2 linked regions of the Daphnia pulex genome follow. The protein of the gene in region 1 purifies or fractionates together with the protein of each later gene. This does not show direct contact. Links are inferred from orthologs where the notes say so. Each region holds a gene or a part of one and is shown in the gene's direction. Other genes may lie near its edges. The genes, in order: zinc finger CCCH-type with G patch domain-containing protein-like and OTU domain-containing protein 5-B-like.

Region 1 (4,264 bases):
TAAGGCCTAGAAAACAATAAATTATTTAAAAAAATTTTGATTCACACAATATTAAATAGCACACGTTACCTTTACCAAAGAATTTCTTCTTGCAATCATCAGTAATACGCAAGGCTACTCATTTCTTCTTTTTGTCACATCCATCCAGTAGATCAAAGGCTTGTTCATTATAAATTTTGCAGTACGATACCCAAACTGAAAAATAATCTTGAGGGTGTTGAAGAGGGCAAACTGTCTCTTCTCAAGCTTGAATATTCCAATCATCCAATGATCCAAAAGGAACCGAGGAAATGCTGTCCTTAGTTTTAGAGTTGAAATGAAATCCATTCATCAAAATTGCCCTGAAAATAACAGTACGTAGGTTAAAAATTTCAAATTATTTCAAATAAACTATTTTTAAAAACTTTGCAAAAGGAGAAAATACTACCTCTCCAACTCTTCTGCTTCAATTTGGTTATGATTCAGTTTCATGACTTCATTAAGAACGAGTGGCTTTAGGGCAGGATTCTTAAGTAGTCTATCTTTCAGGCTGTTGAATACAACATCCAAAGAACGAGGAATTAAACCTGCATCTTCGACATTGCCCAGCAGCATAGTGTAGGTTTTGCCTGCACTGTTGGCTCCGTAAGTGAAAAGCAGTGCATTCTTGCCCATCAAGAAATCTAGTGGACGGCTGGAGTCTGGACGCACTGCATTCGAGCACCGTCAGATGGATCTCCTATCAACTATTTGAAAGTTCACGTAAGAATAAAGCCATTAGACGAGAAAATCAAAAACAGCACTTAATCGATCAACGGAAATCACATTATTGTAAGAGCACAAAAAACTTCTGCGTCATTCAAGACTAGACACCACTCTGGAAAGAACACTTTACCGAAATTAAAATTCAACAAAATTGATGACTCATCAGTGAAACAGGAACATCTTTTCAAAGACTCTGCAAGATTAATTTTGTACAAGATTTCTTGATGGACAAGAATGCACTACTTTTCACTTACAGAGCCAACAGTGCAGGCAAAACCTACACTATGCTGGGCAATGTCGAAGATGCAGGTTTGGTCGAGTCTATTGCACCGTCGGGCTGACGGTGCTCGAACTCCAGACTCCAGCCGATCACTCGCGATTTTTTTCATTTGGCCTTCGACGTTGCCAGATATGGCCAATTACGGCCAAATTTTTGTTCAAAATAGCCAAAAATTTAGCTAAAATCATAAAAAATCGAAATCACTCATTAGCAAAAATCTAATCTAACTTTAGATTAACAGATTATGCTCTCGTCACATTTTCATTGCTTTGCAACGCTGCTAGCAGACTACCGTAGTATTTATAAACAAAACATCAAAACCTTTTCAATTCTCGACAAAGCTCGATGTCTTTCTCGCTACAGTTTTGAAGTTGACCGTTATCCTTTTAATATGTCAGAAAGCGTGCAATCACTACAGGATTCACTTGAAATATACCAAAATCAGGTAGACACGATTTTAATTTTCTAAAGAATCGCAATTTTTAAGTTGTTTTTATTCAAACGAAGTTGAAACAAATACAAGATGCATTGTTGATCGCGAATGAAGAACAAAAACCGGACTTGCAGCAAATTGTAAAAGATTTAGAAGAAATCATATTGCTTACTGAAACAAGTCTATCAAGTGCACCGGTCCAGGAAGATAATGATACCTCATCAGCAAACAGCCAAAATGAATCATACTTGGATGTTAGTTTTGGTTGACAATAAGTGGCATAATTTCAATGAATCAGCTGAAATGTTTGGTTTTATTTTTATATTCTAGGAAGAACTTTCAGCATTAGAGGGGATGAAATGTAAAGCTCCGTTTAAATATGAATGGGGTGGAGTTGGATACCACAGTGCTATTATCATTGGTTCTGAGTTAGGCGAGGATGATTTAGTTTATGTGAAAGCTGTTTTCATGCACCCCACTACTAAAAAAATGCAGCCATGTCCATATTTTTTAGAAGGAAATTGTAAATATCCAGATGAAAAGTGTCATTATTCCCATGGCTACACTGTCCGATTGGATGAAGTGCAAGATTTCAGGTGTGTATCTCATCAAATCTAAATCTAAAAGTAATTATTTTTTCTCACTTCAAAACAGTGATCCAGACTATAGCAAAATCACTGAGGGCTGCACAGTATTAGCAAAGTATAAAGATGAACTGTGGTACAGAGGAATTGTTGAAGACATCATCAAAGGAACAGAGTTTTCCGTCAAATTCCAACATTGCAATGATGTACTGTTACTCAATTTGCATGCTGTCTATCCTCTAGGTAAAGGTTACAATATTTATGGCCATAGAATTATTTCAAAATTATTTCGATTTCATCAGATGAAGACGACGAAGATTCGTCCTCTGAATCCAGTGAGGATGAAGACGACGACGACTCTCAATTTACTCCGAGATGCCTAGAAGAACATAACGTAGGAGCTGCTAAAGAAACTGGCTCGTTTGGATTCTGGGAAAAACATACTAGAGGAATTGGATCTAGACTAATGGAGAAAATGGGGTATGTCCATGGTTCTGGATTGGGAAAGGAAGGAGAAGGTAGAATCAATCCAGTAGAAGCCATGGTTTTCCCGCCGGGTCGATCACTGGGTAAGTGGCATCAGTAGATATCTTTTTCTTTTAAATTTTAATTGGTCTCTTTGTTGGTTTTTAAAAAGATCGTTGTATGGAATTGAGAGAAGAAGCCGGAAGTGGGAATATGCTTTCGGTGGAAAAGAAACTTGAACGCCAAAAAGCCAAAGCCCAGCATCGATTGCGTCAAATAGCCAACGCATCCGAACGTGGATCAGTTTTCGATTTCATCAATTCCAAGCTTACAAAAACCAGTGGACAGGATTCCAAAGGAGGTAAGAGTACCAATAACTCATCCGTTAGCAGCCCTTAGCAATCTTTATTGTTTATTTGATTGGACAGACGGGGCTTCGCATTCACGAACAAAAGTGTCTGACTTGGGGCAGCTAACTCGTGAAAAGCTGAACGTTCAAAGCCTCCAGATCGGAGAAGAAATTCGCAGAGCTGAGCGTGACATCATTAAAATGAAACAATCTCTTCAACGTCAGAGTGATCGTGGTGACCTTGCATCCGTTTCGCAAATCAGATCGAGACTGGCCGAGAAAGAAAAAGATTTAGATCGACTTCGAGCTTCTGATCGTCACATAGTGAACGAGCAAAAGCAAAGAAAGAGCTCTTCTAAATTGACCGTTTTCTAAACTGACCTTTTCCGTAATACTTCCAATAAAGATAACCGTGTAACAACTAATAATCTAAACTTCGTTTCAACTAATCACAATGATCCATAAAAATGCGATATGAATTTTGTAATCAGAAAGTAAGAAACAATAAGAGTTTCCAAACAAGAAGGTAATAACAATTATAACAACAGTTCATTTCAATGGTGGGTTAGCGGGCAGTTAAATTAATAGAATCCGTTGAAGAATGGGTAAGGTTGAGGGTAGTAACCAGTAAATCCAGGGTAAGGAGTGACGAATCGGGCAGGAGCGATGGGAGCAACTGGGGCAGTGTAAACGGCGTTGTCGGGCTGGCCGTCCTGGTTCAGGTCAACGCTTTTGTAACGGAAATCGTTGAGGAATTCAGCTGGGTTGTGGGGAAGGACGGCAACTTGACGTTTGCTGCGGGTGGACTTGACCTCAGCGGCGGGAGCAGCGGCAGCCTGGACGAAGGGGTAGGTGAAAGGAGCGCCGTAAGTGTAGGGGAATCCAGCGCGGTAGTTCAGACCGGCGTAGGGGTAGTAGTTGGGCAAGAGAGCGGGGGCTGCGGTGTAGACTGGGACATCGGGTTGGCCGTCCTTGTTCAAGTCAACGCTCTTCGACAACAAGTCATTGGTAAACTGAGGATTGTATGGGGACCATTGGCTGTAATATGGGGCAACCCATTGGGCGGAGGCGCAAGCCAAGAAGAAGCTGATGATCTATTGATTAAATTGAATTGATTGTTAATGGTAGAGAATGAAAATATATTAAAAAGAATTGGATAGAGACAAAAGAACTTACCAAGAATTTCATATTGGGATAATGCTTGTAGTGGACAGACGTTGCAGTGAACAAGTGAAGAATTTGGAATTGGGTTCTTCTTTTATATCGTTCAAAATTAGCCGTTTGTTGAGATTAGAAACTATGGTGCAATACCTTTTAGTTTAGTTGAAACACTTTGGTGCTAAGAAAGAATGAACTGCATTCTTTGTTGAGACAAAAGAGAGTGAGTGAGTAGCAAGCAAGACGACACT
Region 2 (4,422 bases), on another chromosome or scaffold:
CGAAAAACAGGTGAAAGATTTTCATTTGTTCTGTCTGCAAGCCCAAGGCCATTCCTTCAAATAATGAGTGAATGCTAATAGCCATGTACAGCAGAGTTAGGCGTAGGGTTCCCCCAGATTTGTTCTTGAGAATTCTTTCTACTTGATGGTGGCTGCAGCCTTGGGCTGGTTCCAATTGAAGAACTTTTTTAGGACTAGGTGCTTCATCGCTATCTTCTTCCTTAAAGGTGACCATAGGAACATTTTGATAAATCCTGGGGATGTTGATTTCCTTTAGAATCGAAGGACTCTCTGGTGAGACTGCTTCTAATGCTTTTTTGCCAAGCAGTTCTTCTGAAGCACTTTCATCTCTGACTGTGTTATAATAATTCAGTTTACTTGATCTATCAGTTTCGTCAAAAGCCATTGGGACTTCCCAGTCTCCATTGGTCTTGTTCTTTGAATTTTGGCATTGAAGAATGAGCTGTTCGACTGACATGATAAGGAAAAATCCTAAAATGCATGTGAATTCAGCAACAGGAAAATCAGTTGTTATATTAAGGTCTGCAAGCACTTTCCTCGTCTTGTCTTGCGCATAAGGAAGTAGTCCTAGAAAGCACATTGCGATGAAGACTCCACCAGCCATGGAATTACAGAATGAAATTATTCTTTCTGTACCACGACTAAAGTTGCAGTCCTTGGTAGATTTCTTGGCTACAATGCAGACTGGAATCAAAGCACAAATTGCCATAACAATGTACACAATCAAAGCAGTGACAACCAGCAGTACTTGGCTATCCATGTTGACTGCCACTATGCTTGGATGTGTCTGATGGACTGATGCAACTGTTTACTCTTTTAGAATTTTTCGTTTAGTAATTTTCAGCGTTCGCACAGGCCAGATGCCACTGACTCTACTCACTGTCCCTTCGCGTTATTATAAAACTCAAAACTACTTGAGACAAGGGCACTTACTGCGCCTTGAGCGAAATATTAACTCGAGCTCGGTCAACACCCTCTGTCGGTCGATTTGTATTTATTTTTATTTTTTTTGTGCTTTACATCTTCTGCTCGTTTTCTTACTTCATGCTAGAAGGAACCTACGACAGGTTCTACAATAATGCTACAATAATTAATTCACCTACCTGAAAGGTATATGCAGGGTGATTTTATTCCTTCCTGGCAGAAGTTATGCAATGTTTCACTTAAAAAGTAAAATTCCAGACACACGATCAAAACGAAGTCAATGTCACAATACTGGCAGAGCAGACAGAATGTTCGTATACAATTAACATCCTTGGTTGCCTTCTTCGAGCAAAAATTCGGAAATTGAAAAATACATATTAGCTAGAAGCTAGCTAAAAAATATTTTTCAACACAATTTTGCAAACATGAAAAATTATGTTTTTTATTCATAGCATCACTCCGAAAATTCATTCCATTGAAAATTTGAAACATTTTGAAACTCTATGTTTTCGCTTATTCATCGACATGGCAACCTCTAAATAATTTAGACAGAAAAATAGACACGGCCATCTTTCAGTGGAAAATTTGTCTTTTTCGTTGAATAGATAAAAGAAATCGTCGAAGAGTACATTTCAAGGGCGTTTCGGTAAAGAGAGTGATCTTTGCACAAGCATCATGACAATTCTGCCGAAAAAGAAGTCATCTCAATCACGGTCGGAATCCGAAAGTAATACTGATGGATCTCCCCTACAACACCTCTCAGTTGGGAGCAATAATCACCTTTCACACATTGGACCAGTACCACAGGTAAAAAAATTATTTTTATAAATATACCCCAGTATTTAAACAGCCTTTGGAAGAAATTATGGCTGGAAGTTTCAGTGCATCTTCTAATTGACATCTGAAACAACCACACAAAATGGCCGGTCCAGCTACAACCAGTACTTATGTACAAGAAGCAAATGGTGCTTTGTTCATTACACCCTTGCCATTTAGGCAGTGCTCAATGAATAAAAGCAAATAGTATTGATAACTATTATTGACAAAGATGACAAAAAGTCAGCATTGTTGATTCTTATTAAAATGTATTTTACATAAATTTTACAGGTAGCAGAAACTTGCAGTGTGTCTAGGCTGTCTGGAAGAACATCATCAAGCCATCCCCACAGCCACGGACACAGCAGCCAGTCATCATCTCGCTATGAAGATTATGACCTGGAGAGTGGTCCTAGTCAAACAAAAAGAAGAATGAGAGTCAGTCCCCATAGGTATTTAATCTCAGTTATTATTTTGTTGCATTGAAATTTGACAGGCATATTTTTTTTTTATTTAGAGCTGTCCGCCCCAAGCACAGAGATAGGAATTCATCAACCTCTGCCATACCTAGTACTAGTTCAGCCATGCACAGTGTTGCCTCTTCATCCAGCTCAGGAAGTTCTCCCACACCAAGCCATACAGTACCAGATCCTTCTTCCCATGAAGATGAATCAGGAAGTGGATATAACAGTGGAGATGAATATGGACCTGCAAGATCTTCATCTTCTAATGTCCCCATTTCTGAAGAAGAATGGGAACAGGTATGTTTCCTAAGACAGAAGTGTTATTCATAGAACTCCATCAATGCCAATATGATTATTAGAAGGAAAGATGGTTTGAGAAAAAGATGCGGAAACGAGGTTTTATTATTAAGCGGATGGGTGAAGACGGAGCCTGCTTGTTTCGTGCCGTTTCTGATCAAATCTACGGTGATCAAGAAATGCACTCAATGGTTCGCAAACATTGTATGGACTATATTGTAAGTAATTGTCCTGTTGTATTTTTATGAATTTGAAACATTACGTCTATATTTATATTTGTCATAAAAGGACGCAAACGGAGACTACTTTTCACAGTATATGACTGAAGACTTTGCCGCCTATGTGAGTAGAAAAAGATTGGAAAATGTACATGGCAATCACATTGAGATGCAGGCTATGAGCGAAATGTACAACAGACATATTGAAGTATTTTGCTACAGCGTCGGTAAGCCCTTATCATTTCGATAAAATTCGCTAAATAGAAGGCTTACTTAAATTTAACCCATTACAGAGCCGATCAATATTTTCCATGGTAAACATCAGACTGATGACGAACCTATTCGATTGTCTTATCATCGTGGAGTGCACTACAACAGTTTGGTTGATCCGTACAAAGCCACTGTGGGAGTAGGACTGGGATTGCCAGGATTTGTCCCTGGTCAAGCAGACAAGAAATTAATGGGTGATGCCATGCGACAAAGTGAAGAGACCTTAATTGAAAAAGCCATGTTAGAAGATAAAGTTAAAGCCACAGATTGGGAGGCAACAAATGAAGCTATTGAAGAGCAAGTTGCCCGTGAAAGTTACCTCGACTGGCTTAGAGAAAACGAGCGACGCAGTCGACAGCAGCAACGGTCCGGTCATTCGGCAACCACTTCCTCGAATGCCTGCGAGCTCCGTTCCCCAAGAACAACAGCAACGACGTCCTCTTCAGCTCGTAATTCGCCCAAACCATCTTTTGTTGAACACCAGCGGAAGTCTCCAAATGCTTCACCGAGAGCGTCCACTTCACGCAGCGCCACAACCTCTAGTAGTCGTGAAGGTGCATCAACTAGCCCTATCGCGTCACCGGCCGCTGGTACTTCAAGTTCAAACCCAGTGAACACCAGTAAACCCGATTGGGGATTGGGGCCAGGCTTTGAATTGGCTGAAACGGCTTCATTCCTGGGACAGTTGCCTCCTGACATGTTTGGTAACTGACGTTTATATCAACAGATATTTTCAGTTTAATTTTATGCTTTAAAATTGGCTAAAGGTTTAGCAGACTGGGAGGATGCTGGACTTTTGGCTCAAGTGCTGGCTGCATCGCAACAAGAGTATCTGGACAAGTTGAAAAAGAGCAGGGAAGCCATCGACCCTCACGACGACGAGACGATGGATAACACCAAACAGCAGCAAGAGGAGCAGCCGGTTGAACAGAGCAGTCGCGACAGTATGACGACAGATCCAACCAACGACCTGACCAGTGCGAACGGGACTAACAATAGTTAACCCAGACTCCTCAGTTGTTTTGTCTACGTGTTAGCTTTCCTTTTTTTTTCCCCCCGTCAGTGGCAGGGAGCTCAAGAGGCGTGTATCAGGGGAGGAGTCAGAAGAAAGTCCTTTCCATGCAAAATTGTTAATCTTTGATTCTCGGTCTAAATTTAGACTCGCAATGACGTCTGACTGACACAATTGGATTGAACTTGCCTGTACCCCCGTCTCCTCCACTGCCGATTCTCGCAAACTGGCTGCCAAATCATGTAAAAAAAATTCATCCGCGTTCAAAGTCCAGTGAAGCGAGAAAGGGAGAAATCACTTAAAAAAAAAAAAAAAAAAAATGAGGATTGTAATAATTCGTTACACAGCTTTTCTGTCAAAATAGCCGCGGATGCTCCTCTTGCCCTCCTGGTGCCTTTGA

What was found.
Region 2: the proteins of zinc finger CCCH-type with G patch domain-containing protein-like (region 1) and OTU domain-containing protein 5-B-like purify together in Homo sapiens (affinity purification with mass spectrometry; 3 studies listed by BioGRID, with this or other methods). This does not show direct contact. The link is inferred for Daphnia pulex from reciprocal best matches to the Homo sapiens genes ZGPAT and OTUD5.

The regions. Positions count from the first base shown.
Region 1 is NC_060017.1:8,204,583-8,208,846, forward strand, and holds zinc finger CCCH-type with G patch domain-containing protein-like, read left to right. Parts: upstream 1-1,241; 5' UTR 1,242-1,268; coding exon 1,269-1,469; intron 1,470-1,531; coding exon 1,532-1,711; intron 1,712-1,787; coding exon 1,788-2,053; intron 2,054-2,111; coding exon 2,112-2,284; intron 2,285-2,343; coding exon 2,344-2,610; intron 2,611-2,678; coding exon 2,679-2,867; intron 2,868-2,934; coding exon 2,935-3,230; 3' UTR 3,231-3,436; downstream 3,437-4,264. Other genes in the region: uncharacterized protein LOC124193369, read right to left, coding at 3,437-3,949, 4,032-4,137. UniProt on the Homo sapiens protein: Transcription repressor that specifically binds the 5'-GGAG[GA]A[GA]A-3' consensus sequence. Represses transcription by recruiting the chromatin multiprotein complex NuRD to target promoters.
Region 2 is NC_060018.1:2,564,078-2,568,499, reverse strand, and holds the start of OTU domain-containing protein 5-B-like, read left to right. Parts: upstream 1-1,469; 5' UTR 1,470-1,620; coding exon 1,621-1,752; intron 1,753-2,052; coding exon 2,053-2,213; intron 2,214-2,278; coding exon 2,279-2,522; intron 2,523-2,584; coding exon 2,585-2,740; intron 2,741-2,810; coding exon 2,811-2,967; intron 2,968-3,033; coding exon 3,034-3,714; intron 3,715-3,777; coding exon 3,778-4,013; 3' UTR 4,014-4,422. Other genes in the region: zinc transporter ZIP1-like, read right to left, coding at 1-781. UniProt on the Homo sapiens protein: Deubiquitinating enzyme that functions as a negative regulator of the innate immune system. Has peptidase activity towards 'Lys-48'- and 'Lys-63'-linked polyubiquitin chains. Can also cleave 'Lys-11'-linked ubiquitin chains (in vitro).